2 linked regions of the Tribolium castaneum genome follow. Each later gene encodes a partner of the first gene's protein in a complex. Links are inferred from orthologs where the notes say so. Each region holds a gene or a part of one and is shown in the gene's direction. Other genes may lie near its edges. The genes, in order: PolA1 and Prim1.

Region 1 (16,693 bases):
TTATTCTCTTTGGAAAGCATGTTTTGTTGAAGTAAGACGTTAAAAAATATTCAAGGTTTAGGAAACACACGAATTTCTATTGCAGATTGCTAACATTTTATCAACTGCAACTTGGAATTACACTGATTTATTTATTATTTTAATAAGTTGCTCACTCGCCTCACGTTTTGCTCAAATCAATCACCGTCTCAAGAATAATAAACTGTTGCACGAAAAATTCTGGAGAGAAATTAGAGAAGATTATAACAAACTCGCACATTTGACGGCAGTTGTTGACAGAAATATCGCTGCTTTAGTCGTAATTTCGTTTGTTAGCAATGCATTTTTTATATGCGTCCAGCTTTACAACAGCCTAAAGTAAGATTCTGCTTTTGCAAAATTTGATCAAAAGCTTGACAACAATATTTTAGAATTCGTGTCGGTACCGTCGAAACAGTTTACTATTTTTTCTCTTTTGGATTTCTGGTAGCTAGAACAATCGCTGTTACACTTTACGGAGCTTGGATTAACGACGAAAGCAGAAAACCACTCGAAATTCTTCATTCGGTTCCTTCGGAACATTATTGTGAAGAGGTATAAAATAACAAATTTGGCCAATTTTACCTTTCAGTTTTAGATTAGTCGTTTTATTCAACAAATTAATTCCAGTCCTGTGGGAATAACAGGCTCAAAATTTTTCATACTAACCAGAAATTTTCTTTTAAAGGTATGAATACGTTTTTGTTGATGTTTAAGAAACACTGCATTTATTTTGCAGATGGCCTCAACGATTGTAACTTTTGAACTAATGTTCCTCCAGTTTGGACCATTAATAAATACCAACATCAACCACAGATCCACAGATTGTTTTATGTGAATTATTGTATCAATTTTTGGAAGATAATAAATACAGTTAATGAAGTTATGTTTTACCTTTATGTTCATCTCTCTCTCTCAAAACAAAAGGTATTTCCGTTTATTAGGATGTGCTCTTCCGTTTACTGGATTCGCAGTGGCCATGATTTTTATTAACAATGTTTTTCGGGACTTTACTAAACAAAATCAGTTAACTAAAAATTTTTAGAGATAAATTAAATATTTTCGTTTTATTTCTTTTATAATTTAAGAAGTAAGTCATCTAAGAATTCAACGCAAAAGTTTGAAGTTATGATTTACCTTTACGCTCATCTCTTTTTCTCTCCAAACAAAAGGTATTTTCCCTTTGTTAGGATGTGCTCTTTCGTTTATAATTTTGCGTCTTTACGTACTTTTACCTTTTGCCGCATTATTTTCTTATTTCTGTCAGTTTTATGCTCCGCTATACGTTTATACGTCTGTGTGTTCTCTCAACCTCTTATTTCTGTTTACGTGTTGTTTCCTTACCTTTTCTATACTTTTTTTCATGGAAAAATTGTTACACCTGATCCGGGTTCGAACCCCCGGCTTCCCCCGTCGAAAGTGGCGCTTATGCCGCTAGGCCACGAGACCCCAAGTACTGACCGTCTTTTGCAGATATTTTAACACAAACTTTTTAAATAAATCAACATTACAAACTAAATAATTGCAATAATTCACATAAATGGCTAATACTTTTAGTTTAAATGTCGGCGAATTAGCTCGAGAAAACATTTTTTTCCACTTTTTTCAATTTAATTCTCTAATTTTTCACCAGATTCCATCAAAAGATACCGAGCGTATAAGTCAACTAAAGTTTGAAGTTATATTTCACCTTTACGTTCATCTCTTTTTTTCTCAAAACAAATAGTACGTTTACAATTTGGCGCCTTTAGGTACATTTACATTTTTGCCGCATTATTTTCTGATTTCTCTCAGTTTTATGCTCCGCTTTACGTTTATACGTCTATGTGTTCTCTCGACCTCTTATTTCTGTTTACGTGTTGTTTCCTTACCTTTTCTATACTTTTTTTCATAGAAAAATTGTTACACCTGATCCGGGTTTGAACCCCCGACTTACCCCGTCGAAAGTGGCGCTTATGCCACTAGGCCATCAGGCCCTAGATACTGACCGTCTTTTGCAGATATTTTAACACAAACTTTTTAAATAAATTAACATTACAAACTAGACAGTATGTTTTATATAATGTTTAATTAATTGAATATTTGATTAATTGAAACCATATATTTTACTGTCCACGTAATCTACGCTTGCTACAAAAAAAAATTTATGCACATTACTTGTGGACCATCTGTATGTATGTACAAAGTTATTCGTATAATGTTTTGCGCCTGACTGGGTAAAAATGCAACTCAAAATACTTTTTATAAAACATAACTTTTAAGTATTATAAGCAATTTGACCCCCTTTTTTTTAACAGTATTTTGCAACAATTTTTTTAATTATTTACAACGCTAGTGTATAACTGGTTACATAACACGCTTTCTTTGGTTTATGCTGTGCGCAACATGTCTGCCAATCATCGAAATAACCTAAATTAATAAACAAACGATTTTTTAAAAATGTCTTTCGAAACACTCCAAATCGAAAAGATATGTAGAACCTGCCTTTCGGAAGAAGGTGACATGCGTTCGGTATTTAGCATTGACGAATCTATCGGCGAAACAATGCGTTTGTTTGAAATGTTAATGTCTTGTGCTGCAGTGCAGGTAAATCAAAGGTGGTCCCCCTTGTGCCCCATTTTCAATGTTTCTCTGTAGGTTTTGGAAAACGACGGATTGCCCAACCAAGTTTGTTTACAATGTGTTCATTACATAACTCGTGCTTTTTCATTTAAACAATTATGCGAGAGATCAGATGCAACGTTGCGGCAACTCCTAGGCAAACCCATGCAGGCCACTTTTATGGAATTAAAACCATTATTGTCTAGTGATCAACACGAACCTTCATTTAACGATGTTATAAATACCGTCACGGAAAATATACAGGCCGTAACAGATTCCGTAAATGAGGCTTTTAGTAGCGCAGTTGCAACAGTGAATAGCATAGACGTTGGGGATTCTTTCAAGTCGGAAGGGTCCCAAGACATGAAAATGAAACTGGAGTTTGTGGACAATGACGTGTTAGGAAGTAAGTAGAAGAAACTTATGTTTGTTAAGTACTTTATTCACATTTTTGTCAGTTGATCCAGATTCGTGTGGTAGCGATGCCGAAAGCAAAATAAACGAACTGAGAGCTAAAAGAGAATCAAAGAAAAAGAAAATTAGAGACGACACTGAACAACCGATTTATCCATGTGAGGAATGCACTCAGTGTTTCACTACAATGATCGATTTGAAGGTTATTTTGCAAACCAGTCCCTTGATCAATGAAGGAGCTACATTGAAATCTGTCTTCACTGATCAAGGAAGCTGTGTTTCAACTATTTCAGTAAAAATTCTCAAAAAAAAAATTGCAGGCCCATGCTAAAACACATCCGAAAATTAGCAGACACATTTGTAAAATCTGTAATCAAGGTTTCGCAAGTGCGAGCACTTTGTGTCGACACATGAAAGTACATGATGGCGCAAAACGGCATTTGTGTAGTGAGTGTGGCAAAGGTTTTGCGAGATCGGATGATCTTACAAGACATATAAGAACACACACTGGTGAAAAGCCTTTTCCTTGTAAATTATGCGGCAAATCGTTTGCTCAATCTTTTCGTCTGTTGGAGCATATGAGGGCGCATGCGAACGAAAAAAGTTTCATTTGTTCAGTTTGTGGCAAAGCCTTTTCACGTTATACGAGTTTGGCGGCGCATAATAAGACACATAGTGGCATAAAAAGCCACGCTTGTGGGGTTTGTGGCAAAAGGTAGCAAACCATGTGTAAAAATAATACTTTAATTTACGAAAAAAAAATTATAGGTTGTGTGGTTCTGGTTCTCTTGCAATGCATATGAAGACTCACACGGGCGTTAAAGACCACATTTGTCCTTACTGTGGCAAAGGTTTTACCACACCGAGTAATCTGACCATACATAAAAGGACGCACACAGGTTGGTTTACTTGCATTTATTTCCACCTCGCTTCATAGAAAATGATATTTTGCTCTCTAGTCTAAAGGTGCAAAATATATCTTTACCTCCCTAGAGAGATTTTTAGGAATTAGGGAGTAAAATATCATTTTCTATAAAGCGAGTTGCAAAAATAATATACACATTTTTCACAGAAGCAAAGTGAATTTCCTCTCTTGTGCAATTGCAAATATTATTTGTCCATTGTGTCTGTTTTTAGGTGAGCGTCCTTACGTTTGCAACGAATGTGGTAAAGGTTTTCCTGATCCGTCGAGACTCACAGTCCATGTGCGATCACACAGCGGCGAAAAGCCTTACGTTTGTAGCGTTTGTGGCCGTGGTTGTGTCAGTTCGTCTCAATTAAAAAAACACAGAAGAATACATACTGGCGAAAAGCCATACCAGTGCAATCTATGTCCAAAGGCATTTCCACGAAGCGAAGATTTACGCATTCATATAAAAACTCACACTGGGGATAGAAACCATATTTGTCCTTTTTGCAAAAAAGGCTTTTATCAGGCTTCAACTTTAAAAGTACACCTTAGAATACACACCGGGGAAAAACCGTACACTTGCAATATTTGTAATAAAGCTTTTTCGCAAACCGGGCCCCTATCCACGCACATGAAAACGCATTCATAGCGTACCTAAACTTTATTTATTTATTTACTAAACTTTACATTTCAGTGAGATTATATTGTATAAAGTAGCGTCTATTTAGTAGTTATACACATAGGAACACGTATTTAATAACTTGGGACTATGTTGGTGAAATATTATTATGTACTGCCTAAATAAATGCAATTTTAATAACAACTGACTTTTTTAATTTTCCCGCCAAAATTTTATCAGATGTTCAAATTACATAACCTCTGATTTCCAGAAAAATGTTTAAACAAAGCGTCAGTTTGTTCAAATTAGCAACAAATCATACGATTAGGTTAATAAAACCTCAGGTAATTAACCGTCTTGTGACGCTTTTTCGGTTTTAGACGTTTTTTGTACGGCAGTAAAAAATTAAGCGCTCCACCGGGGGCTTACGAAGGTGAAGGAAAAACAACCGTAAACATATTAAACAATGAGGACGAGGTGGGATTAATGATAAACGGCTTCAGTCAAGTATTATTCAATTCCGTGGCGTAATTACAAACTGATTGTTTAATTTCTAGGCGGGTTTTAGATTAAATAACGATTTGACGATTTTAGGCTCCGTTGTAATATTTCCAAAGTATACGTAACGTGTTATCGAACACAATTATACCAACGTTTTTTTAGATCAGTTCTTTCATGGAATGTTGGCGACATCAACGAAATTACAGATGAATCACTTTCGTTATTTACCATATTAGAACCCAAATTAGATATAATTGTTTTAGGAATAGGAGATCCACAAAAAGATTTCAGTTTCTATAAAAAAATTGTACCGTTTGCACGCAAACACAAATTAACATTTGAAATTCTTCCTACGGAACAAGCTTGTGCAACGTTTAATTTTTTAAGTTCTGAAGGAAGACATGTAGCTGGTGCGCTAATACCACCACAAACTGTCGTTACCACTGAGGATGATGTGCTGCAAACCAAATTAAGATACCAGAATTTGTACGAAAGAGAATAAAGGAATTTTGCCGAATTAGTTTTTTTTTTTTTTGAAAGAAACCGCCTAAATGAGCAGTGATGCCAGCACTAGATACCTATGTTTTTTCAATTAATTTTCACAGAAATTGTCCCAACAAGTTTTTATTTGGATTAAAGGTTTCATAAACTTTTCCCGCATGAACTATTTTTAAGATAAACACCAGTAGATAAACTAAAAAAATTTAATTCTGTAAATATGTCAGCCAACATAAAAACAAATAAAACACTACTATCATCTATCACGTTTGTGAGGTTAGAATTAAAGTTTTCCCGCCAAGTCAATGTGAATTTTTTATTTTTCTAAAAACCAGTAAATAGTTGTTTGTAGTGTTTTTCTAATAGTGATAATGGAAGACGATACCTGTGAGTCACAAGTAAATAATATTTAGTTAAAAACTAAGCGCATCTTTCGTTTTAGCCGAAAGAAGGCCCAAGAGGCAAAAGCGGGACTCCTCTTACAAAGCTAAAGCTTTCGAGAAATTTAAGCAATTGAAAAGTGGCCTCCGAAATAAATACGAAGTCGAAGAACTCGAAAATGTTTACGACACTGTTGATGAGAAAGAATACACCAAAAAAGTGTTAGATCGTCAGGATGACGACTGGATCGTTGATGATGGTATTTTTTTATGTTAAAACACTTCAGATTTTAATAGTAATTCGTTTAACAGACGGCAGTGGCTATGTAGAAGACGGTCGGGATATATTTGATGATGATTTGGATCATGCTTCAATAGCTGCAGCTTCTTCCAAGAAAAATAAGGGGGTTAAACGTAAGAAAAATGTGGCGGAAAATGCAGGTCGCGGGAACTTACAATACCTCATTTCGAATATGCCATCAAAAAAGAAAGAGGTCTGTTAATTTTTTACGATCAAAACGTAATATAGCTTAATGTGTGTTTAGGAAAAAAAGTTGGATCAGGATGATGATTTGGCGGAACTTTTACAAGAAATTAATGAAACTCCACGTGAATCCAAGGCCGCAACATCGAATTTTTCCCCACTGTCGGTAAAACAAGCTGAAAAAGATTACATGAGGAAATTAACTTCCATCAAAAAACCAGTAATAACTCTCAGCAGAACACCGAAAGCGAAACAACCACTTAAGATATCAACGGAGGAAAATCACGCAAAGCCGACTGAAGAAACGATTTTAACGGAAAATAAACTGGAGCCAGAAATAACTCAAGCGAGTTGTGAAGAAATTGCAGAAACTCAAGCGAGTTGTGAAGAAGTTGCTGAAACTCAATCTGATGGCTGTTTTGATGACGATTTGGATCTGTCCCAACTAGAAGAGTCTGAAGCAGAGCAATCCAAACCCCAAATTGAAGAAAAGCAAGATTTGTGGGAAAATATTGAAAGCGAAATGTTGAAAGAATGGTCCGTATCCCAAGACACCGAAACCACAATCGACTTGCAAAACTCCGACATTCCTCTCGTGAAAATCGACGACAAAAGCGTTTTCAGATTTTTTTGGTGGGACGCTTACGAAGACCCATTTATCAAACCGGGTGTTGTGGTTTTATTCGGCAAAACCTACCACACTCAAACGAAAACCCACGTGAGCTGTACCGTAATTATCCGTAACATCGACCGGCGGATTTTTTTCTTACCCAGAGTGGAAGAGGAAAAGTCCAAAAAGCCGGTCACGTCTCAGGACGTCTACGCCGAAATCAACGAACTGATGAAAACCAAAGGAATCAAAAATTTCAAAGCTCGACCCGTCACGAAAAAGTACGCTTTCGATCTTGAAGTTCCGTCAGAATCGGACTATGTCGAAGTTAGATATGCGGCCACAGATCCCCCAATTGATAAAACCACCAAAGGGCGGACGTTTTCGCGTGTTTTTGGGAGCGAGAGTTCATATCTCGAGATTTTTTTACTCGATCGTAAAATTAAAGGGCCCTGTTGGTTAAATATCGCGAATCCGATACCGGAATCGAATCCCTCGACTTGGTGCAAATTGCAAGTAAATTGTGACAAATTAACCGATGTTACAATATGTGAGGAGGCGATTGAACCGCCACCGTTGGTCGTCACTGCTCTTAACATGAGAAGAGCTTTCAATCCCAAGACGGGATTAAACGAAATCGTGATGTTGAGTCTTGTCACTAATGTTAGTTATTCCGTTGATAAACAAGCACCTACTGAAGCGTTCCAAAAGCACTGCTGTGGTAAGTTTGTCCGATAAATTTTTTCAATACAGTGCAACTCAGAAAATTTATCATCTGACGATATGAATCTTTTGCGAAACAACATAGTTGTGCAAATTTTGTAAGTTGATAGTAGAGCTCAAAAGAAGTGAAATTGTTTTTTGGCAAATTCTGAGAAAAATACTTTATATGATTCATGAAAAAAATGTTCTTTGGTAGGTTGATATGTTTAATACTTTTAATTTTTTCGTTAATTTGAAGAAATATATTTTTTAACTGGAGATATATCTAAATGAGGTGTACATTTTAATGCAAATAACATGTGTTAGTGTTAAATCAATTATAAACAAATAAATAATCTTTCAACTCTCTCCTGGAGAGAAACTTGGAATGTTATAAATAACAAAATTAGACACTTTTGCAATGATCGCCATAGAATAACAACGCGATAATTTAGGAAACCAAGCAGTGATACATTTTTCGAAACTGAAAACAAATAAAAGAGATTACAGCTTAAATGGTAAAGTTAAAAATGATTTTGTATAATGTATAGGTAAAAGGACGCTAAACTATTGTAACTGATAGATTATTAATATGCATTGTACATTATTTGAAATAACAGCGCAAAAACCCTTAGGAAAAACTGGAGCAGGCTTTCATTGTTAAGTCCAAAATTTGTTCTTTCGTTAATAACACAATAAAATTTATAGCTACGGCTTTAAAATAGAATACACTGTCTAATTATTTTCTGCCGGTGATAATTACAATCTTGAAAGGTTAATATAAGCACTTGTTCTTTAAAAATTCGCAAAGGTACAATTGAAGTAATACAATATAGGCTATTTTCCCTTAGAGTTTTGGTCCGCGAATAAATTTGGAATTAACAAAACTTTTAAACAAATATGAAATTTTAATTAAGCTTAGTTCTTTAATATCTTTTAAATTGAATTAAAATTTACAAACACAGCCTCAGAAACATGAGTCCCCTCATAAAAAATTATAAAAAAAATTGTATTGATTTTTTTTGGCAAAGATACCACCAAATTTCATTCACTTAAATGTCACTGCCTAATCATTATGTAAACTTTCGAATAAAGTAATTCTAATTCTCTGTGTCAAAGAAGAAAAAAATTGGTTGACATATTTTATCCTCTACCGGTTAAGTTGTTGCAAAAAAAATTATATTTTCTTGAATGGGTTTTTAATAAATACATAATAACTGATCTAATTTATTAAAAATGAAATAAAAGTAGTCTATAGTCAACAATATTACCGTTCTTTTCTCGTTTTATACCAAAATTACTACATTTTATAGAATAATTCATTCATATAATTAATAACAGGATTATTACATAAGCTCTTGATATACCACGTACTAAAAATATTCGAGAATTTACAGAAAAAGCAATTAATTTTGATGCTACTGATTATAATGTAGCATTTAGGGAATGTGTAAATACTTTGACTTCAAAATTTTTTAGTGTTTCACGTTACAAATAAGCCGCAAAACGATGTACGAAGCTGAGAACAGAAGAATCGAATTTTGTCATAGACAAAAAAGTACAATATAAAGTTATTATAGTTCGGCTAAAAAATTACACCATTATTATACCATTTTTTGGACAGACGAAGAAAAATATTATAATAATTGTTTCTTAAAATGTCGCTTCTTGTTTTAAAACATTTTTTATTTAATTAAATTAAATTAATTAAATGTGCACTTCACATCACATTGTATGTGATTTAAAAATTTAACATTTATTTTCCACTATGGAGCACAAAAAAAATAAAACAAAATAAATGCATTGTTATTGATTGCAATATGCATCTTTTTCCCTATTGTCTTTTTTTCAAATTTGAAATTAATTAAATTCATACGTATAGGAACGGCTCAGTCTACACAACTATCAAATACTTTGGTCAAAAGTTCGTTATAAGCGGCAAATTGCATCACACTTTAAATCAAATCTAGTCTGCTCCATCCACTGTATCTAATTTCCAATTTCAGTTTTTTACTGTCCGGACACCCAAGTCCTTTCATCTGACCTCTTCACTGTGATGCAAGACTGCAAGATAACAACTTTGCAAAAAATGCACTCGGAAAAGGCCCTTTTGAACTACTTCATCACACAATTTTCGAAACTAGACAGCGATATAGTGGTCGGTCACGACCTACAAGGCCACCAAATAAGCGTCCTTGCCGAACGAATGTTCCGTCATAAAATCCCAAACTTCAGTAAATTGGGCCGCATAAAAAAATCCACGTTTTCACGGCACAAAATCGAAAAAGAACTATTCGTCGGCCGACTCGTTTGCGATGTCAAAACCGCAGCGAAGGAATTGATCAGATGTCGATCGTACGATTTGGGGAGCTTGTGCCAGGCCGTTTTGAAAATCAAGGACGAACAACGAACCGATTTGGAGCCCGACGATGTGCTCAAAATGTTCAGAAGCAAAGAGGAACTCCTCAAACTTGTGTCCTTGACCATGCAGGACACAGCGTTCGTCCTCAAAATCATGTACAGTCTGAACATCATCCCCTTAGCGCTGCAGATTACGACCATTGCGGGCAACGTCATGTCGAAGACTTTGATGGGGGGGCGGTCAGAACGCAACGAATTTCTCCTCCTCCACGCCTTCTCCGAAAAAAATTACATTGTCCCAGATAAATCGTCGGGGAAGAAAGACTTCGGCGAGAAAACGGCCAACAAAAAGGCGACCTATTCGGGCGGCTTGGTCCTCGACCCGAAAATCGGCTTCTACGACAAATTCATCCTGCTAATGGACTTCAATTCGCTGTACCCCAGCATCATCCAAGAGTACAACATTTGCTTCACCACAATGCCGCCGAACCTAGCCGAGGACAACATGGTACTACCCGATGCAACTCTCCCGGCTGGAGTCCTCCCAACTGAGATAAAAAAGTTGGTGGAAAGTCGGCGCGCAGTCAAAAAGCTGATGAAAAGCGCGGACTTGAGCCCCGACCAGAGAATGCAATACGACATAAGACAAATGGCCCTAAAGCTCACCGCCAACAGCATGTACGGGTGTCTAGGTTTTGCCAATTCGCGATTTTACGCCAAAAATCTGGCCGCGTTAATCACCCACAAAGGCCGCGAGATTTTAACAAACACAAAGGAAGTGGTCGAAAGACTGAACTTTGAGGTGATTTACGGCGACACCGACAGTCTTATGATAAACACAAACTTAGTGGACTTCGACCAAGTCGCGCAAATCGGCACCAAAATCAAGCAAGAGATCAATAAGCTGTACCGGCAAGTCGAGCTCGACATTGACGGTGTCTTCAAATACTTACTGTTACTCAAGAAGAAGAAATACGCTGCTGTGACTCTAAGTAAGGACAAGGAGGGCCGCTTGAAAACCGATATTGAGTACAAAGGCTTGGACATAGTGAGACGTGATTGGTCGAGACTTGCGGCCGAAGCGGGGAAATTTGTCCTCAACCAAATTCTAAGTGACCAAAGCAGCGAAAATCGCTTCCTGAATATTTTGACTCATTTGAGCCAACTTCGGGAGGATCTACAAGAGGGTAAAGTGCCACTTTCCCTCCTTGTGATCACCAAACAATTGTCGAAAAACCCCGACCAGTACCCGGAGGACAACACGTTACCACACGTCCAAGTGGCTATCAGATACAACAAGCAAGGGGGGCACTATCGGGCTGGGGACACCGTCCCTTATCTGATCTGTGACGATGGGACGAAAAATCCGGCCACGCAACGCGCTTACCACATTGAGGAATTGAAAAATTCAGAAACGCTCAAAATCGACGTTACTTACTACCTCGCTAATCAGATTCATCCGGTGGTGAGCCGCATTTGCGAACCCATTGAAGCGTTGGACCTTGTGCAAATATCCGATTGTCTCGGGGTCGATAGCAGCAATTTGAGAAAAGTAAAGGTGGACGATGACAACGGAGAGAACGTAATAGATCCGGAAATAAAGTTCCGGAACGTCGACAAGTTTGTATTTAAATGTTTGGTTTGTGAGAGCGAAAACACCGTTGATGGTCCATTTTCTAACAATATTCCGGTTTTACAAAAGTGTCAGAATGCGCGCTGTAAGGCCAGGCCGGCCGATTACGTCCCCTTTATCCAAAATCAAATGACCGAAACGATAAATTCCTACATCGAGAAGTTTTATTTGAACGAAATGTACTGTGAGGATCCGATGTGTTGCAAGGAAACTGTGAGGATTCCGTTGAGCTCGTCAGGACGGGTTCCCTTTTGTCAAGTTTGTAACTCAGTCTTGATCAAGAAATATTCGGGTTTGAGTCTGTTCACGCAGATTACGTATTTCCAATACATTTTCGATTTGACTAAATTGAGTAAAAGTGAGTGGTTGAGGGTGAGATGAGTTCGAAATTGATTTTCTGTTTTCAGTGCCATCGCTGGAGCTTCAAGTCGAGAAAGCTTACCATGAAATAAAGGAAACTGTAGAAAGGCGTTACGAGTTTTGTGGCTTTTCGACCGTTAAGATGGAAAATATGTTTGCTTGGTGCGAACACAGGAAAAAGGAACAGGAGGATGAGGAAATTCCAGATTTTGCGATGGAAGAAAGTCTGCTTAATTTGATGTTGGAAGATGAGTGATTTTTATTATTGTACATTGGAATTATAAATGTTGCGTTATTTATGTACTCGTAGTTAAGTAAATTACAAATCTGGCGTAAAAATTCGTTGCTTAAAAAACCTACCTTTAAATCATTTGTAGTCATTCTGCGGTGGCATTTCCAGCTTTTTTTTGTGGCAGCACCTAGTTAATCTATGACCTAGCTCCCAAGAAATCCCCGAAGTAATTGAAAAGCGTGAAGCCTTTTTTCTTGTATATCTTTAACCATACGCGTATTGAAAAATACAGAACGAAGGGCAAATTTTAAATTTTCTCATGTTTTTGTCTGAAAATTTTAGTTTTTTGTTTTTTTTGCATTTTCACCATGTAATTAATTAGTGAATTGATTGGATTTAAGTTAATTTAAATCGTTTTGGCGCCGAAACGGTTTGATGCTCGAAGCGCCTCATTTTTACTCATTTGCCGTACTATTTTTTGGTTCACAAAGTCTCATTTCGTCTCCTAAATTATAGTCTCCGTAACAATTACCATTTTATTTGTGATTCTAACTTCTTATTATTGTATTAATTATTAATTTATGAATAAATTGAATTTGTGAATGTGTAGCCAACAAAACAAACCTAAATTCCCACTACTTCCCTGTTTTCGCGCCAAAACTGGCGTGTGTTGTGTGCAAACAGGTGGTCGTAAATAAACGTTAGTAAAACTCCAATTCCGGCTTGAAGTAGTGTAAATTCGCCAAAAATCATGAACCGACGTGATTACGACAAAGATAAAGGTGAGTCCAGTCTATAAATGGTTAATTTCCACCTTACCGGTTCATGTTTTAGAGACCATAAGAACCTTCTTGTTAGAGTTTTGCATTCAAGATGATTCCGGTCAGAAAAACTTTAAATATTCGAATCAGTTGACAAAACTGGCTCATCGCGAGCAAATAGCCCTTTACATCGAGCTTGACGATCTTTACGAACACGACGATGATTTAGCCAAAGCTGTAATAAACAACACTCGTCGGTACACGACTTTATTCTCCGACGTTGTCTTCGAACTGTTGCCCACATTCGTGGAACGCGAAGTCGTGGCCAAAGACGCTTTGGACGTTTACATTGAACACAGGCTAATGATGGAGCAGCGTTTGAGACAACCGAACGAGCAGAGAGATGCTCGTAATAAATTTCCACCGGAATTATTACGCAGATAGTAAGTTAAAAGTACCAGTTGGGTGGGCACTTTAAATTGGCGTTTTAGCGAAATCTACTTCAAAGACTTATCAACTACTAAAACCGTCCCAATTCGCGAAGTCAAAGCCGAACACATTGGGAAACTGGTCACCGTTAGGGGCATAGTGACGCGAAGCACCGAAGTCAAACCTATGATGACCGTAGCGACCTACACTTGCGACCAATGCGGGGCTGAGACCTACCAACCTGTCCACGGACTAAGTTTCATGCCGGTGTTGATGTGTCCTAGTGAAGACTGCCGTGTGAACAAATCAGGGGGGCGCCTATACCTCCAAACCCGTGGCTCCAAATTCGTCAAATTCCAGGAGCTCAAAATCCAGGAACACAGTGACCAAGTCCCAGTGGGGCACATCCCCCGGACTTTGACTATTTTTTGTCGGGGCGAAGTCACTCGCCTGGCCCTTCCGGGGCACCACGTGGCCGTCACAGGCGTGTTCCTCCCTTTGCTCAAGACCGGCTTCAAACAAATCATGGGGGGGCTCCTGTCGGAGACTTACGTCGAGGCGCACAGAATCGCTTTGGTGAACAAAACCGAAGAGGATGAAAGCTCGTCCAAACCCCTCACACCTGAAGAACTATCGGTCTTGACCGAAGACGATTTTTACACAAAATTGGCGGTGTCTCTAGCGCCGGAAATCTACGGTCATCTTGACGTTAAGAAGGCTTTGCTTCTTTTGCTGGTTGGGGGAGTGGACCGCAGACCTGACGGTATGAAGATCCGGGGGAATATCAATATTTGCCTGATGGGGGACCCCGGAGTCGCCAAGTCGCAACTTTTGGGGTACATTGATCGGTTAGCGCCACGAAGTGAGTCAATGGTTTGAATTTGATTGGGTTAGTTTAGGGGTTGTTTCAGGTCAGTATACCACAGGACGGGGCTCTTCGGGAGTGGGGCTCACTGCCTCGGTTATGAAGGACCCCATGACGGGGGAGATGATGCTGGAAGGGGGCGCACTGGTCTTGGCCGATCAGGGGGTTTGTTGTATTGACGAATTCGATAAAATGGCGGATGCGGACAGGACGGCCATTCACGAAGTTATGGAACAACAAACAATCAGCATTGCTAAGGTAGTGAGATTTTTTATTGTTAACGTAAAAAACACCATTTTATTCCACATTTACGGCCCCACATTTAAATTCTGACGGTTTTTCACACTTTTGCCCAAAAACTTGGACAAAATATCAGATTCAGCATCGTTTTTGAATCGTATTTAGCGTATTTGATGAACCGCCAGTTGTTTCACTACCAACGTTACAGCACCGAATGCCATGGCGCCTAATCCAAATGTATTTAATTGTTTATTGTTATTAGTGTATTTTAAATTGCAAATTGCTTGTTATTTTCAGGCGGGTATTATGACTTGTTTGAACGCCAGAGTCTCGATTTTGGCGGCGGCTAACCCGGCCTATGGCCGGTACAACCCGAAGCGGACAATCGAGCAAAATATCCAACTACCGGCGGCCCTTTTATCCCGTTTCGATCTCCTTTGGTTGATTCAGGATAAAGCGGATCGCGATAATGATCTGAAACTCGCCAAACACATCACATACGTGCACCAGCACTGCAAACAGCCCCCGACTCAAATCAAATCGCTTGATATGGGCGTTATGCGGAAATACATCGCACTGTGTAAGTTGAAAGAACCGGTGATTCCCGAAGATTTGACTGAATACATCGTTAATGCTTATGTGGAGTTGAGAAATGTGGCCCGGAATTCTAGAGACATGACTTTTACTTCGGCTAGGAATTTGTTGGGGATTTTGAGGCTGTCGACGGCTTTAGCCAGGCTGAGATTGTCCAATGTTGTGGAGAAAGACGATGTTAATGAAGCTATAAGGTTGATGGAAATGAGCAAAGATTCTCTTAACCAGACTTTCGAAAAAGGGGCAAGACCACCCAATGTCAACGACCAAATCTTTGCCATTATTAGAGACTTGGCTGGAGAATCGAAAACAGTCAAACTATCAGACGTTATGAACAAATGTGCCAGTAAGGGACACACTCCTCTGGAAGTTGATTCCTGTATCGAAGAGTATGAGGAATTGAACGTGTGGCAAGTGAATCTGACTCGCACCAAAATCACATTTATTTAAGATTTAGTTGTTTGTACCACTTTTATAACTTGTATTTTTTATATTTCAATAAAGCATGAATCCAATTGTTTTGCCTATGTGACCAGTTATACACCACCTTCCTTGCAATGACGTAATTAAACTGTCAAAATTATCACATGATTGGATAATAACAATAATAAAAATTGTATAAAATGGGCGAAAAAGCGCATCTTCCGCACGAAAATGGTCTTAATAAAAACAGTCCCGAGCCCCCGGACCAGGAAATGCATTCGGACGAAGAAACCGGGGACGATTTGGACGATATGTCACCCGAAGGTAAGGTTAAGGCAAATTGAATTAGGGGCTTACCGTCTCCACAGAATTTCAGATGCTTGATAGTCAGCTAGACGCGCTGAATTCAGCGTTGGACAATATCGAGCAAAAGAACGACGATATCCACGCCCAACTTTTGCTCCTGTTGCAATCAAATCGCGAAATCAGACAACAAATCCAAGAATCGAGTGCCGCGGAAAAACAAGAACCCGACACCCAAAACCAATGAGTATTAACATTCCGGGAGGTTTAGTTGTTTTGTTAAGTGTTACGTATGTTTAATTATTTCAATAAAAGTCTAGTTTAACGTTTATTTTTTTTACAAATCCATGAGTATTTGCTGGAATGCCTCAGCATCAAACTGTTCGATAATCGTAACGTTTTCTTTCTTGGTTTTCAAATGGTCGAGCACGATTTGCCCCCGTGTCTGACTCCCGTGAAGCTCAACACTTGCATAATGAGCGCTTTTTTTCGTGATTATTTCGGGTTTGAGGAACGCCGCTGCGAGAAAAGCGTCGCAAGGCAGCCAAATTTTCTCGTCTTCCTTGTAAACACTTCTTTCAGCTAGGTTTAGTAATTCAATAGCTGGGTTTTTCTTGGCGCCGAAAACCTTGAAGCGCCAATCCTGAAACAAACAATAAGCCGACAATGCGCACAACGTTACAACATACGAATGTGATTTTTGGATAAAGGCACGTCTCCCATGTGAGGATAAAAATCGGTTTTTTGACCGTGTC
Region 2 (16,469 bases), on another chromosome or scaffold:
TTCTCTTGGTCATTGGAGAAAAGTCGAAACTACGAAACCTTAATTCAAATGGCCGTCTTTCCCTGTCGCTTGTTGACTATTGTTGAACAAATTAATGTGTTTTAATTTGAATTTTTCTTTGAATAATTTATTAGACAAGCACATTACCTCGCTATTAACAAGTAATAATAACCGTTTCCAGATGCTAATTTGAGTAAAAGCATCGCGTCATAATTTTTTCCCCGACGAATAAAAACACAAGTTGTAATTTTATTAAAGAACCCATAGAGAGAAAGAGGTAAACACAAAGTTGCTTCATATTTGAATTAAATTAAAACGGCGCTATGTTTTCATTTGGGTTTAATCTCGCAACATGTAGCCTGAATCAAACTTTATTACAATTTGAAAAATTAACGTGAAACTATTATCCTGCCGGAAGCGAGGTCCTTTACCTTGTCACTTTTTCGCTCCCTCAACCCAATTCATTTACTTAACTCCCTTAACATAGAGTGCACAAAGCTGAATATATAAGAGCATTTAATTTTCTCATTAAGATAGAGCAGTAAGAGCTAAATTAATAAGCTCCACTTATCCGAGTCGATTCAAGACATGCGCACCTAAATAAATTATAAACTAACACAACTAACGATGTAACAAAATACGGAAAGAAAACATGACCTCGTTTCCAATTCTGAAAACTGAAATCCGAGGCGTGATTGATATTGTTTCGGAAGAAAAATTTAGGCTTTTTTAATAGTTGAATCCACGATTTCGAGCCTCAATAAGTGAAAAAACAGGTCAAAACAGATGAAAGAACTTGACAAATCCTTGAGCGTCCTTGTGAGGAAGATATGTATTATGTCGTTTGATTTAGGAGTCGCAAGGGGCGTGCTTTATGGAAATGATCCCGAAATGTCATTGCGAATTTATAACATTTGGAGGCGACGGTTGCGAATTTACATACTGCAAGCATTTTGATTAAGTCTTTTCAAGCTTTAATCACCGACCACCGAAAAAATAAATCGGATCAATTGTGTGATGTGTTCATTGAAAGCGAGCGGAGAGAAAAAGTTAAAGAATTTCGTGTTTGAATAATAGAAAAAAGGGTCTTGGGACGAGAAAGGAAAGCGGGATAAAACAGAGCTTAATTGGAGTAACACTTTAATGAATTTTTTACGCGACAGGACAATGGCAGCAGGGGCGGACTCGCCCAGGCTTGATTTTTATGTACACAAGGATTGCAACGGGACCATTGCCAATTTGAGCCAAATTTCGGTGCTTTTTACTTTTTAAGTTTAAAAAGTTGGGAAAAATATAAAATGAGAGGTGTGGATTTTTTTTAAGGTAAAAAAATAACTCAAAAATAAGAAGTCGTAGAGTAAAATCGTCTTTTAAACTTACTGCAGTAAAGTTTTATGGACTTTTATATGTCCTAACAACCCACTAGAATTGTTAAAAGTCCAAAAAAGTGACATTTGTTCGCTTTTTTGATGTTTGGTTTTTTCAATTTTTGTCGCGATTTTGGTTGATTTCGGGTACCCGGAACATTTATCGAGCAATAACTCCGAAACTATTAGAGATAACCCTATGAAGTGTATCATCGTTGGAAAGCTCTTTACATTATCTATTTTTTCCAAAAAAGATTATTGTTCTCCGACTAATAGTTTTCGAGAAAATTGCAGATAAATGCAAAAATTGGTGAAATTTAAAAAAATTCATAACCAAAAAACTATTGGGAATTTGGCAATTTTGTCAATGCCAATCGATTCCCCGGATCATTTTGCAATGGTAGGGATTAAAATCGTTTCACTTTTTTGAATAGTTTAGCTGTAATTGAGAAAATAAAAAAAATAAAAAAAAAGTTAACACTAAAATCGATGAATTTTTTAAAATACATTTTAATATAAAATTGTCTGGGAAATCCGTCTGTGCAAACTGTTTTGTCCTCGAACGATTGGTTACCGAGTTATGAATTCTTTAAGATTAAAATAAAGTTTGACAAGAGCATTAAAAAATCGATTTTGGGAGCTTCTGAAGCGATTTTCCTTTGGAAGCATTACGTTAAATTAAATTTACTCCCGGAAATAAATAAATATCGATACTAAATGTATTTACTCCGCGAAAAAATCCCGCAAATTGGGTTAAATGAAGCAAGTTAATTACGCGCTCACTCCTAATAAACTCGTAAATTCCTGCTGGAAAAGCACTAACGGTTGGTGACAGGTGCACTTAGTAATTTTTAATCGATTCTCCTCTAAAATTACGGAAAACAATGACCATATTCAAGTCTAATTTAATCTTATCAAAGAAATGAGACTCCTTTAGAAGCGAATCTTCCAATTAGACATAACTAGACGTTGTTTCTTGCATTGTGATGAGCTGAATTGTAATTAAATTTTTCAAGTGTTCCTTTGTTCCAACTTTTCGCGAAAAAAAAAAACCTAATTGAAGTAATTAACTGTGATTAAATCGGGCCCCAACAATTTAGTGTCACACTTTTAACTTGACCCAAAAACCCGGAAAATCCCTGACCTTGCTATCAATTCCGGGACGTCTCGTCCAAACAAAGATCACGTGTTCGTTCCATCCCAATTCCCCGTTTCCACTGTCGCATTATTTAATCCCTCGAGCCACCAGCGAGCAAATTAACAAAGTCACTTGGACGCACTCAACGAAACTGAGATTTGAACGTTAGCTAAGTGTTTATCTGCTGACCCTCCATGACTTAATTTGTTTTCGGCTATAAACTGATTTAATCGGCGACCCATGCCTTGTTGTGCAATTTTCCAATTCGAGAAAATTTCAAACAATTTCACTATAATTACTAGTTGCTAAACAAAAGTAAAAGTTGCAAGTGGGCCGCTATTGTGAAAAGAATCGCTCGCTGCGGGTTAATCTAATTTCGCCCATAACTCGGACCCAATCAATAGTCTGCAAACTTGTAATAGATGTAATCGGCAAGGGACTCGCTTTCTGAGACATTTTTCTGCAAAATTGCCAAGTTTTTAATGCGGCTCTTGTGTAATTATGCCACATTAGGTGGAATGCTCAAAGTTTTTAAGAGGTTTCCGGATGTGTAAACACTGAAATAGGGCGTAATCTCAACTTTAAATTACTTCTATTGTAAGTGACTTTTATCTAATGTTTTCCAGTCGGAAGTTTCGCCATATGAACAGAATGAGGACATCGGAGGTATTATATTATTTAACGACCAAGTCCCCAATTGTATTTTTTGTTATTTTAACTCTTTGAGGACGTTTGAGAATTTTTACAAAATGATTGGTAATGCGTTAAAACGAAAAAAAAAAAGACTGTTTCCGCCCGGGATCGAACCGGGGACCTTGTGCGTGTGAAGCACACGTGATAACCACTACACTACGAAAACATATCTTCTACACTCACAATCACTGATTATACGTTAAATTTTTATTAATTGTTTTCTATTTTAGTTTTACAAAAATAAAGCTTAGTTCTATTGTGTTCGTTTGGTCGTAAATGTTAATTTTGGCTCAAGGCAAATTTTTACATTTACATTTACCATTCGCTTGATGCAAGAGGATTCGTAATAAATTGGAATTTTACTTGGCTGAATTTAAATCAAAATTTCCAAATTGATTAAAGGTTATTCATTTTGCCACTCTTATCTTAATTAAATTGTATAATTTATTTCTTACTTATTTCCAAATCGTAAGAAAAAAATTTATCATTTCCACAAGTGCTGAAAGGTAAATTACTGAAACTAATTAATTTTATCTTTGCTATAATTAATTTGATTGAATTTATAATTACATAAACATGATTTATTTAAAATAAGTCAAGGTCAAATGTGCATTATCAGTTGCATCCGATAAATAAAAATAATACAAAAACTTTTTTTGTTAATGTCGGCCACTATTAATTCACTCTTGCATCGCTGGTTGCGTGTCATAGTAATAATTTACTCGTTTTTGCCTTTAAAGCTCTTTATTAATAGTGCAAAAACACTTATTACATTATTTGATGGTGTGTTTTTTAGCCTATTGTTACAACAATTATTTTTTTTTATTTTTGGCTAAAATTATGATGGTCACGTCAAAAAATATTTTTCTTTTGCTGTAGTAAAGAAAACTTCTAGAGTTTTTAAAATTGTAAGAATACGTTAAGAAGTTTTATTTAAAAAAAAAACTGTTTCAACTTTTGTAATAATTTTGATCGATTTCCGGTACCCGGAACATTTATCGAGTTATAACCCTGGAACTATTGGACGCAACTTTATTGAGTTTATTATCGTTGGAAAGCTCTTTTAATTATCTATCTTTTTCTCGGACATTGCTCATAAAAACAAAAATTGGTGAAAATAAAAAAATCTAAAAAATTATTTGGTATTTTGCGTTTTTTTTGACGCCAGTTAATTTTTTAGATCATTTTACAAAAATAGTTTTACTTTTTTGAATAGTTTAGCTGTAATTGAAAAAATATAAAGAGAGTGTCTCCGAAGAATTTAATTTCTGGTCGACTGTACTTATAACTGGTTGCATAACCTCCACCTTATGTAATAACATAAACACGGAAGAGCCAATAAAACCTTTCAGCTGTTATTTTTTCAAGGTTTTTCTAATTTATTCTCATGTTGAACAAACTCACGAGTGGTCTAAGACTGGTACTTTTCCGTGAGTAAATCTCCGTTTTTTTTTAATGTCTGTCGTTGTAGCTTCGCATTTTTAACAAAATTCTTGACAATACTTGTCAGCAATTCCATTCTGCGTTATTTTATACAAAAATGGGCTCGCAACTGTATTTGAAGCTCCCAAGTGGGCAAAAACTGCCGGCTTTGGGCCTAGGGACTTGGGAGGTGGGTTATTGGCATCAAATTTTTTTTATTTCATTTTTTATCAATCAGGCGATAAGCGATGAAGAAATCGAAACTGCGGTCAACAACGCCCTAGATTTAGACTATCGGCACATTGACACAGCTTGGGTTTATGAAAATGAGGCGGCGATTGGGAAAGTGTTGAAAAAACGCTTTGCTTCCGGCTTGAAAAGACAGGACGTTTTTATTACGACTAAACTTCCGATGACGGGGGTTCACCCAGACAGGGTTGACATGTTTATAAAAAAGTCATTGACGAATTTGCAATTGGATTACGTCGATTTGTACTTGATTCATTTCCCCGTTGGTTGTACTTATTACGAGGGGGAAGCACGGCCCAGATTTAACGATAAAGGGGAGATTGAGACTGAGGGAAAGACCGACCACGTCGCCCTGTGGAAGGTTTGAAAAAAAATAACTTAACACAAAAAACGCTTTATCAATTACCGAATTACCACCGTTTTACCAGAATAAAATAGTGGGCTATTTGATGCGCTCACTCGCTATTGCTCGTTCGTGCTTTAAACAGTATTAATTATGAACGAATTAACACAACTTGTAGCTATTTTTTGCCCATTGTTGTAAATTTTGTAGAAAATGGAAGAGCAGGTTGATGCCGGAAGGGCCAAAAATATCGGTTTATCAAACTACAACATTTCTCAAATTGAAACCGTGCTAAAAAACGCAAAAATTAAACCCGCCGCACTTCAAGTCGAACTCCACGTCTATTTGCAACAACGCGAACTTGTAGAATTTTGTCAAAAAAACGGAATTGCTGTTATTGCCTACTCTCCTTTGGGGAATCCCGGCATGAACAAGTTTTTGCAAAAAATGGGCCAACAGTACGATTTTTGCGCCCTTTTTTTCATTTCTAGACACTTTTTTGCAGACCCAGACAGTTGGCAAATATTTTGGAAGATGCAAAAATTAGTGAGATTGCAAAAAAACACAAAAAAACACCAGCTCAAGTGGCGTTACGTTTCTTGATTCAGAGGGGCATTGCGGTTATTCCTAAAAGTGTAACGCCGAAACGAATCGATGAAAATCGAAAATTGTTCGATTTTGTGTTGAGTGACGATGAGATGAAAACTTTGTATGGTTTAAATGTGGGGGAGGCGGCCAGAGTTTGCGATTTTAAGGTCTTTGGAGGGTAAAGAATAATCACAGAGTCAGTTTTTAGCCTTACTTTGGTTATTTTAGACTTGATAAACACCCCGATTTCCCGTTCGCACAAAAATGAGCTTTTTTAATTGAAACATTACAATGTGACCGGATGTTGGTTGCATAACCCATGATATAAAATGATTATGTTGTATTTTACCCTTTACTTAATAAATAATCAAATAAATAGCAAATTCATGTTTTTACACACTGATGATATCGATCATTATGCAACGAAATTTAAATAAAAAAATAAATGACGTAATGTTGGTTGCATAAGCTCGCAACCAATTGCGACACAACCTCACTTTTTTTGGCGGGAAAAGTTGTCACTGTGTTTTGCGTGATGAGTGCCTCTTTGTACAATGAAGACAGCCTCCCTGACCTGCTCCCCATCTACTACAAGCGTCTGTTCCCCCATACAGCGCTCCACAAATGGCTTTGCTACGGTAAGTTGCCTCCAAGCTCGATTTTGGTCAAGTGAGCCCCTCAGGTGACCCCAACGTGTCCAACCGGCGCGAAATTTCGTTCACTCTAGTCGGAGACATTTACCTCCGTTACCAGAGTTTCGAAAATGCGGAGGACTTTGCCCAAGCGCTCCATAAACGCTTCCCGGTTAAAATCGATATTGGGGCTATTTACAAGCAGCGACTTGAGTCGTCTGGAAGTTACTCTAGCTCCAAAACACCAGTCGAGCGAGAGATTGTGTTTGATATCGATATGACTGATTATGATGATGTTCGGACTTGTTGTACGGGAGCTGGGGTGTGCCCCAAATGCTGGAAGTTTATGGTGATTGCGTGCAAGATTTTGGATGGGGCTTTACGGGAGGACTTCGGTTTTGAGAACATTTTATGGGTGTTTTCGGGTCGGAGAGGCATCCATTGTTGGGTGGCTGATAAAAAGGCCCGGATCTTGGATGATAATCAACGGTCGGCTATTGCTGAATATTTGACTTTGTTGCGAGGGGGCCTTGTGGTACGAAAAGTCAAGTTTTTCAACATGCATGCGGCCACTGAGTAATTATCTCCTCATTTTTGCTCCCAAGTTGTGTAATAATTGGTTAATTCAAGGAGGGCCTTAAAAGTCATTGATGAATATTTCGAAAAGTCGATTCTTGTCGAACAGGACATTTTAGGGACTTATGAGCGCTTGGACGCTTTTTTGGGCAACATTGACGAGGGTTTTAGTCCTTTGTTTCGAGACGCAATGACCAAAGTTCAGACTTCGGTCGAGCGCTGGAAGGCTTTTGTTAACACTTTTCAGACGTTACAAAGAGAGCAAAAAATACCAAAACACTACAGATACATGGTTGAGGAGATGAAATTTTACTATGCGTATCCGCGACTTGATATCAACGTCACCAAAAGCTTAAATCACTTGCTGAAAGCGCCGTTTTGCATTCACCCGAAAAGTGGCAAAGTTTCGGTGCCTTTTAAGCCCAAATTCATCGAGCATTTTGACCCAGATGCCGTACCCACAGTCAGGTAATTAACTGCCCGACACTGAAAATGTACCACTTTGAATACTATACAAGTGTTGCTGTTATACTTCTGCCCGAAACTGTGTCTTATTTTTTCACATTTTTTGCCCGATTTTTTACGGAAATATACAGGGTCTCTTTTTTGAGGCTGGCGAATATTTGTTTAAGTAATTTTGATTATAAAAGAATACATACATAGAAAAAAAAAATGGTTTCTGAGTGATTATTAGTGTTTGAGGTACAGTAAAAATGCACTAACTCTGTATAAAAAGTGGCACATTTTTTCCGGTGTGCAGTTTAGTATTCACAGAGCATTTTGCTTTCTTAACAAACACCGAGAAAAATGGTTTCTGAGTGATTATAAGAAGTGGCACATTTTGTGTGGCGTGCAGTTTATTCAGGAAGCATTTTAGCCAACTCTTGGACGAGATAAACACCTACGATGCCAAAACCAAAGCTCAGGAGAAAGATTTAGCGGAAAATTCCCAAACCAGTGTTAAAATAAAAGACTACAAGAAGACAAGTTTACTCAAATATGTTACAATTTTTTGCGAGTTTTTAAGAGGCTTGCAGGCTTCAGCTGCCCGAAACAGGGCCATAAAAAATGGTGATTTTTATTGCCTTGATGTAACGAACACAAATTAATTGTTTGAATTTCCAGGAACTGTAATGGAATATTAATTAGTTTACGTTTTTTATTACTCATTGTTACTGATTACGAAATAAATGAACATTTATAATTTTATCGTTTTATTTACCCTTACACACACAATATTTTTTCAAAAACGAATCACTAACACACCTAACAATGGCAAAATCTAGCCTTTTAATTTCACCATCGAGCTCAAAAACCTTATCAACATACGTAACAAACGCCTCAAAAACTGAATAGGGGTACGTTTGGACACTTATTAGTAATTTCTTGTAACCCGAACTCCAGGAAGCACTGGAACTTAACACTTTCCTCAACTCGTAACTCCGACACATTCGCTGATCAACAAACTCATTTACTTTATTCACAATAAAAAGTGAGGCGTTCCTCACAACTAAATCGTCAAGATTCGTCAAAACGAACCCATCACAGGGACAAGACCTATTCTCAATTTCCGAATCCAGACACGACTTTTCCGTAACATCCATAAAAAGCGACTCACACCTCGGACAACTCTGACTAGGTTTCGGGTCCTGATTCACCTGAGTCAGCACCATAATGTCTTGCAAAGTCATGTACAGATCAAACGGAGTGGTTAACTCGTTTTGCTTAAGTTTCAAAAACCTGAACTCTTCGGAATAAATCTCTTGGAATTTTTTCGGGACTAGAACATAAACGAAAGGCAGTTTTTCCTCCAACCAGCCCACATTTGTAAACTCGTTTTTCCCCTCACGCCTCCCTTGATCGCTCAGGAAGAACACGAACGTGTTCGCGAACACGCCTTTCCGGTTCAGGTGCCGGAAAAGTGCCCGGATCGAGTAGTCCAGCTTCGGGAAGGTTCCCACAGTTGCCGTTTTGATCCAGAAAAGGGCGAAACTTGGGTGGTTTTTGAACGTGACACTAAAGTCTTTGGCCAGGTCCAGGAGGCGTTCAAAGGGCGTTTCGCGGTCTGGACACGGGAACATTTTATTGAGTTCCACGGTTGGGTATTTTTCGTTTGCGATAAAATAGGGCCGGAAGTAGTAATCTGTGAGTTGTTTGTGGAAGGTGAAAGTTTTTGACCACACGTCATCTTCACCGAACGCTGTGGTGTAGTTGTATTTTTCGAACTCGGACCAAATTAAATCACACTCCATGGTTTTGCAACCGCTTAAAAGGGCCAAAATGTTGGTGAAAGTGTCGTCACTCACTTTCGCGTAGCCGTTCAAAGAAACCCACTTATTGTTCGACGTTAGATAATGACGGGTTTTTGGAAAATTCCGGATGAAACTTAGGCGCGAAATCTTGTCGATTCCTAGAATCAAGACACTGAAAGGTGGTGGCCAAATGTCGGAATTTTTGGTCGTTTTTTTGGCCGTGATCGCAGCATGGACTTGTTTGTATTGTACCGAACCAGTGTCACACTTGACCAAGACGAAGTCAGTGGCCAAAGTCACATTTTTCGTAAACTTCCGACATTTGGAAATTCTACAAAATTAATTAATTAAAAATTTGCCCCATTAACAAATTTCTTACTTGATGGTATCGTCGGGATTTACTCGGTCAAAGTTTCGTGAAATGTTCGAATAACAGCAGGAAACTTCGGGGTAAAACCCATTTTGTTGCTTGACGTGCAGAGTGGCCGTATTTTCGCTTTTTGTCACAAAAGTGAGGTAGTTTTTTCGGTTGCACGGTGTGTATTTCTTGGGGATTGAGTACATGAATTGTTGGAAATACATTTGGGAGAAGTCCGGAATCAAACACTTGTTGTTAGAGACAAGTGCTGGGACTGCAATTTTGTTTAGTAGTTGGAGAAATGCAGGCACTTTTCTTACTCGGAACGTGGTGTTTGGCGTCTTCGATATGTATCAGAGATATTGTGGTGGTGGTTCTGTTGTAGAAAAATAAGGGGGTGAAGCACATTAGGGAGATACTAGCCACCAGGAATATTTCAAACACAATTTTGTTTTTGTGGATTCGGAGAGGCATTTTGACGAGCTTTGACGTCGCAAGTAATGCGATTTTATTCGTAGTTGTCAGGGTTTTCTGTCTCTAAGGGAAAAATCGAAAAAAATCAACATTCAACTATTTTCAACTTTATCATTTATTTTAGAAATTAGAGTTCAAGTGTAGAAATGAGGCGTCCAGAATCGAAGTTTTTAATTTCTGGTTACAATCTTTTCGACTTTTTCGTAGAAAGTTAAAGTACCGACGTTATCGGCGTGAAAACATGACACCTTGAAGATAGTCTAGATCTTATGATTAATTATTTTGATAAAATGTAATTTTCACACAGTTATTACGGCGAAATTAGATAAGTTGGGACTAAACATCCGGCGGATTAATTATTTTTTCGATTATTTCTTATAATTTAGCAGAATCTATAAGATTGCATCCGTTTGGAAAATTTTGATTATTTTTAAACTATTTGTTTTATCAGCGGCAATGGCAATCCTAATTGTTACTCATTAGCGTGTTATAAAACAATTCGCATAGAACACAACGTCCCTTTTTCGCATTTATGGACCCGGAAATAATGAGCAAACAGTTTCCCAATCGGCATTTTCAACAGAAGCAATTGAGAAATTTGTGGAAAACCTTTGATAATTCTAGCAAATTAACAACAATAACATTCGAAAAGTCCACAAAACTTCAGCTTGAACTTATTAGTAGCAATTTTCGCATTTTTGGAAATATTATTTACTTGCCTGCAATGTGAGCACAATTCACTCTCGCAACTCCACTTGTATTAATCATTAAAATCACGCAAAATATAACACGAAAGTAATAAACATTGAATGTTTTGGATTTTTCTGTAAACTAGATTAGTAAAAAATGTTGTTTCCGACAGGCTAGTTCGGTCTATTTGACTGAAAACTTTAATGTCATGACTATGTGACCGAGTCAAATTTTTGCGAATTATTTTTTTGATAACAATTAAAAAAAATTGTTATGTCAAATAATAATTTTGAGACATCGCACGTAATGCGGTTTATTTCTGCATTCTTTGCGAACATTGTATGTTACAAGTTTTTGACATCGCCAAACAAATATTTTTGAATCAGTATTTTTTCCAAACAAACCAAACGATTTCCTATACAGTGAAACCTCTATTAACGGACAGCTCTATACAAGCGACATTTTTGTAGGAATGTAACTAATCCTAATTAAAATTTTCACCCCGATTAGCGGACACCTCTCCACAACGGACAATTAAAGGTTCCCCATCGGTGTCCGTTGTTGAGAGGTTTTACTGTATAGTTAACTCAAGTTTGTAATTTTTTACACATGTTTAAGCTTTCAGATAAGTAAAAAATTACGCTATTATCGACATAATTTCGGGATTTTTGGTTAATTTTTTAAAAATTTTGAGACATCGTAATGCGATTTATTTCTGCATTTTTTTCGAACATTGTATGTTACGAGTTTTTGGCATCGCCAAACAAATATTTTTGGATCAGTGTTTTTCCCAAGAAAACCACTGCTATTTTTATAATTTAGTTTGAAATGAAACACGAAATAAATAGAAGTGCATATTTATTGACACAAAAGACTAAACTGATATAAAATACCCCTCCTAAAATAACGACATCGATTACAATAACGCATTGACTAGAAAATCTTTATTGTACCAAATGCAAAGTATCACAATTTTTTGATTTCTCCACTCGCGCCCGTCTGAGCAAACTTTGGCACCGTTGAAAAATAGGCACTTGACCACTACCGACAGTAACAGAACATCTTCAGATAGGCCTCCTCCACACACCTACTGTGCTCAGCGTACTTATCCAGGCGACTTATCCCTCCAGTCAGCTCAAACTGCGCCTCGCCTTTCCACAGCACCGTCGCTTCGAAAACCGCCCTGGGCCTCGTCTCCATCACCACCAGAAAATAAACATCACTCTTGTAACTAAACCGTTCGGAAACCCTCGCCGTAATAATCCTCCCTACGGAAAATTTGGCACACTTTGAAGCCCCATTTCTGGCGCGGATTCTCTCCTCAATTTGGCCGACAACGAATTTGGCAGCGTTTTGAACGGTTTGGTTGGTTTTTGGCACCGGGTTATAACCGCCACACGTGCACCAATGCGGCTCGATGGCTGCGTCTTCGCACGATCTCTCCGACTCGGTTTGTGCGAAAAGTGAGGCGCATTTCGGACACCCATCGCTCGGTTTCTGCGTGTAGTTGAGTCCTGAGAGCACCAGGATATGTTGCAGGGTCCTGTAGATGTCGTAGGGAGTGGTCAAGTGGTCGCGCTTCGTCTCCAGGTTTCGGAACTCGGACGGGAATTGGCGCTTGAAGCGGTCGGGAACCGATATGTAGATAAACGGGAGGCGTTCCTCCAACCACCCGGTGTGCGTGTACCGTATTTCCCCGAACCTGATCCCGTGGTCGCTCAGGAAGAAGATGATGGTGTTGTCTAGCACGCCTTTGGCGGCGATGTCCTCCAGGAAGTCGCGGATTTTTCGGTCCATTCCTGAGGGCAGGTTGAGGTCGTTATGACTGAAAGTGTTCGTCCAGAAGAAGGAGAAACTTGCCACGTCTTTGAAACTTTCAGAAAAGTCTTTAGCTATGTTCAAGACGCGTTCACCGGCTGTTTCAGGGCCGGTACAGTAAGCCATTCCGTCCCTTCGTACCGCTTTGAGTCTCTCGGAACCTAGCATATAGGGCCGGAAATAATAATCAGTCGGTGGTTTCGTAAACCCTTTCTTCTTGTAATTAAAAGTGCTGATCGGAGCCTCGTCCTCTGCATATCCAGTCACATAGTTCAACTTCTGGTAGTCGAACCACATCATGGGACACTTGTCCATCTGGCCCAAGCTGCTAGGGTTGCACACCCTGTAGGTTTTGCTCTCGTTGAAGCCGGTCATGATCGCCATGACGTTCGGGAACGTGTTATCGCCCATTTTGTTGTAACCTCGTAAGGGAATCCACGCGTTCTCTTCGAGGTATTGATACGTTTGTGGTAAAGCTCGTATAAAATTTAAGCGTGATATGCTGTCGATTCCGACGAATAAAACACTGAATGGACTCGTTGCACTTGTGTTCATTGACGTGATTTTGGCTTTGATTTGCTTTGTTTGGGTTATTGCCGCGTGGGTGTTCTCGTAGATTTGCTTCTTTGTTTTCAAGTCGATGCATTTCACCATGATGAAGTCGTGGGTTAGGGTGGTGTTGTCCGTGAAATCTTTACAAGCCGATATTCTGAAAAAATAAACATTGAAGTTTGTCTAATTTCATGTTGCAATTAATTTTGTGTTTGATAGTTGGATAGCTCGAAAAATTAATATTTTTTATTAATTGTATTTTTATTTATTTATATTTATTATTTTCTGGGTAATAGAAAATGGCAATATAATGTTTTCAACCCACTTGTTTATTGAGTTTTGTACTTGAAAACGTGCTTTAGCTTTCGAAGCAGACAAAAATTACATCAACTGACTTTTTTAAACCATTTCAGCAATGAATTTATGTCTTTGCATATCAGAATTCAAAAGCGCCAATTTTGGCTCAATCCGACAATTTTTTTAATAATTTCGAAAAAAATCATTTGAATAAAAAATTTGCTTAAACGCTCGAAAAACGGCAAAATAACATTTTCGATCCAATTCGGCAATTTTTCAGCATATTTTTGACGGAATATCATCAAATAATTTGTTGAATCCTGATGTTCTCACTTATTTAAAACGTGCAAAATAATGTAATATTTACGACCCAATTTTGTGTTTTTGTGTAGTCTGTCAAAAAAACACAGTTTTAAGCTTAAAAACGTGCTTAAGACAAAAATTTGTTTATGTTTAAGCAAATTTTTCGGTTTATTTTAAACGTGTTAAGCCATTGAAGAAGTTAAAAAGGTTCATTTATCCATTTGGCGACTTTTTGGGTATTAAATGCTCAAAGAACACAAAATTTGCATTTTTCTGCCAAAATCCAGCTTTTTCGGTTAACTTTAGCGAACTCTACCGAAAAAAAAAACGAATTTTAAGTCTAAAAATGTTCTGAAAAAAGCAAGAATTACAATTTTTTTTTACAAGTCTGATGTTTAATTTTGTCAAAATTAAGTAACAAGTTCAGTAATTGTTCTGGTCGTGGTTAGCTGTGGTTTTCTCCTAACATGAACGTATGTTGCGTGATAAGTTCACATGGTTTGCTGTCAACTGTTTAAATGTTGTCTTATTTTTGCATTTAGGAGTTTTTGATAAAAATTACATTGAAAATCATGATAATTGTATGCAGACGTTCAAGAATTTACTTTGCAAGCTCAGTTGAACGTGTGAATTTTTGGCCGCACTTTTGGTTTGACACTGACAGCACTGACAGCTGTCATCGTCATTGTTTTGTAATGTTAATCGAGACATACGTTTTTTGTGACAATGGCCACACATAGGCGATCTGACCAGAATAAGCATAAAAGGGATAAGAGAAAAGTTAGGAACATTTTGACCAGATTTGACCATGTTTCAGTTTATTTTTGACAAAAATTTGCCAAACATTTTCGTTTTTGACTGCAATATCAATGTGATATTTTCATTTTCGACTGAGTTTTGTAACTTTTTGCTCAGATTTAACGAAGTTTCGACACAATTTTTATCCTAATTTTGTGATTTTTTAACTAAAATAACTGAAAAACAGATCAAAACCATGGTTAACCCCTCGAATATAGTTAAAAAATAACACCACCTTTGACATAATTCAGAATTTCTCTGGTTGTAAAGTTCGAAAAAGTGCCAAGTTAACATTTTCGCCTCAATTTGAGCTTATTTTTGAAGCATTTCGCCAAACAATTTCAGTTTGAAGAATGTATTACCTGATATTGTTAACTTTGTGATTTTTTACACATATTTAAGTTTTCAGAAAAGTCCAAAATTACGCATTATTCTGATAATTTCGGGATTTTTGGTTCATTTTTTAAAATAATTGAAAGATTTTGGTCCGATGTAGCAAATACCTGATGCTGTCGTCCGGCTTCTCCTTGTTCTTGCTTCTTGTGATACTGGCCATACAGCACGATATGTGTTCTCTAAGCTGGGACGGAACTGCGTTAGTGTTAATATGTATAGTGGCAATATTGTCGTTTTTCGTCACATGAGTTAAAAAATCGCGTTTGCTGCAAGAAATGTACTTCATCGGCTTGTAAAACTTCAAAATTTCGGCCTCGAACGGATCCAGATTCGGGATTTTGCATTTGGGTGTTGCGACCAAATATTTACTCTCTACGGTGCAAAAATTGGAATTAATTGTACACAAGCTATGCACTCACCATTGTAGACCTCGTCGGATTCTGTGGTGAAAAAAATGGTTCTTCGGTCGAGAAAGTCGTTATTGTAGTACAAAATCGGGATGAAAACGAGCACAGACACTGCAATAACAACCCCGATTTTGTAGCCGCTGTGGTCGAGCATTTTGGACCGATTTTGTCATAATATCCTTGCTAATTTTTCGGTCGCTGCAACTTCAAGGTGTTGGAGGCGTCATTATTTTTCCGGGTAATTGAGCACCTGCAATTGGAATTAGCACCAAACGAACATGAGATAAATAACAGAAACTGACTTGTATTCAGTGCGGGACGTGGAGCATGGCACTGGGAAAAGGGATGATTTGAGAAAACATCAATGATACCCGAGTTTGCGTAGATCGCGACTTGATAAATCAGTGGGTGGCGAATTTATCGGAATTGGAAAGACCTTGTTTCACTATAACTACTTGGGACAATTATTCGATAAGGAAACACGCGCTCGGATCGAGTGCCACTTGATACTACGACTTTAAGGGCGTTAATAATAGATTTGGCTAACACAGCACGAGATGTGACCGCTTGTTGGACACTCACAGTTTCGTTTTATTGCAAATTGTTCGCTGAGCGCGATGAATTAATTGGGAAAAAAGGCGCACTTAAAATAAACCATAGGTATTCTGAATTTTTTCATTATTCAGAACGTTATCTTCTGACAGGTGGTGAATTTTTGAAATAATAAAAATTCTATAAATATGTTCCTAATCGTTTCGATAAATAATGTTCCCACATGTTTCCGTGTTGGTCAGTACGATACAGGCGAGCGGAAGTTTTCAATGAAGTCACATTTTCAACATTGTTTTAATCAATTAATTGGCAAAACGTTTTTTTATTATTTTTAAACATACTCCAAGCAGTATTTTACTGGATGTACGAGCCGTAGACGAGTGTCAAACTTAGGAGTCATGAACAGTTAACGAATCAATTAATAATTAATTGTTAGTTAATTTAAATGAATTGATAAATTGGTAGTTCCAACTAAAATTGGTAAAACAAGTCTCATTTCAGGGGTGTACAAGGTTATATTTTCGTAAGTGGTGAATACTTACTTATAAAATGTTTGCGATAAGT

The links.
Region 2: PolA1 (region 1) and Prim1 share a complex: the UniProt entries of both Drosophila melanogaster proteins name them as parts of the alpha DNA polymerase complex. The link is inferred for Tribolium castaneum from reciprocal best matches to the Drosophila melanogaster genes PolA1 and Prim1.

What each region holds. Positions count from the first base shown.
Region 1 is NC_087398.1:9,858,675-9,875,367, forward strand, and holds PolA1 (DNA polymerase alpha catalytic subunit), read left to right. Parts: upstream 1-5,795; 5' UTR 5,796-5,932; coding exon 5,933-5,948; intron 5,949-6,003; coding exon 6,004-6,201; intron 6,202-6,253; coding exon 6,254-6,435; intron 6,436-6,486; coding exon 6,487-7,756; intron 7,757-9,743; coding exon 9,744-12,089; intron 12,090-12,138; coding exon 12,139-12,347; 3' UTR 12,348-12,430; downstream 12,431-16,693. Other genes in the region: gustatory receptor for sugar taste 64f, read left to right, coding at 1-31, 86-357, 411-573, 617-706, 758-856; zinc finger protein ZFP2, read left to right, coding at 2,458-2,604, 2,656-3,025, 3,078-3,235, 3,354-3,748, 3,802-3,932, 4,171-4,592; NADH dehydrogenase [ubiquinone] 1 alpha subcomplex assembly factor 3, read left to right, coding at 4,838-4,890, 4,943-5,069, 5,120-5,178, 5,226-5,565; DNA replication licensing factor Mcm7, read left to right, coding at 13,075-13,105, 13,158-13,527, 13,576-14,375, 14,425-14,636, 14,916-15,662; UPF0184 protein AAEL002161, read left to right, coding at 15,836-15,959, 16,004-16,185; nucleoside hydrolase, read right to left, coding at 16,276-16,581, 16,628-16,693. UniProt on the Drosophila melanogaster protein: Catalytic subunit of the DNA polymerase alpha complex (also known as the alpha DNA polymerase-primase complex) which plays an essential role in the initiation of DNA synthesis.
Region 2 is NC_087395.1:25,575,047-25,591,515, reverse strand, and holds Prim1 (DNA primase small subunit), read left to right. Parts: upstream 1-6,188; 5' UTR 6,189-6,335; coding exon 6,336-6,438; intron 6,439-6,482; coding exon 6,483-7,008; intron 7,009-7,062; coding exon 7,063-7,476; intron 7,477-7,885; coding exon 7,886-8,079; intron 8,080-8,133; coding exon 8,134-8,153; 3' UTR 8,154-8,212; downstream 8,213-16,469. Other genes in the region: aldo-keto reductase family 1 member B1, read left to right, coding at 4,586-4,618, 4,670-4,810, 4,859-5,230, 5,423-5,670, 5,718-5,978, 6,029-6,068; uncharacterized protein LOC659605, read right to left, coding at 8,223-9,591, 9,640-9,892, 9,939-10,092; uncharacterized protein LOC659544, read right to left, coding at 11,824-13,309, 15,054-15,318, 15,366-15,507. UniProt on the Drosophila melanogaster protein: Catalytic subunit of the DNA primase complex and component of the DNA polymerase alpha complex (also known as the alpha DNA polymerase-primase complex) which play an essential role in the initiation of DNA synthesis.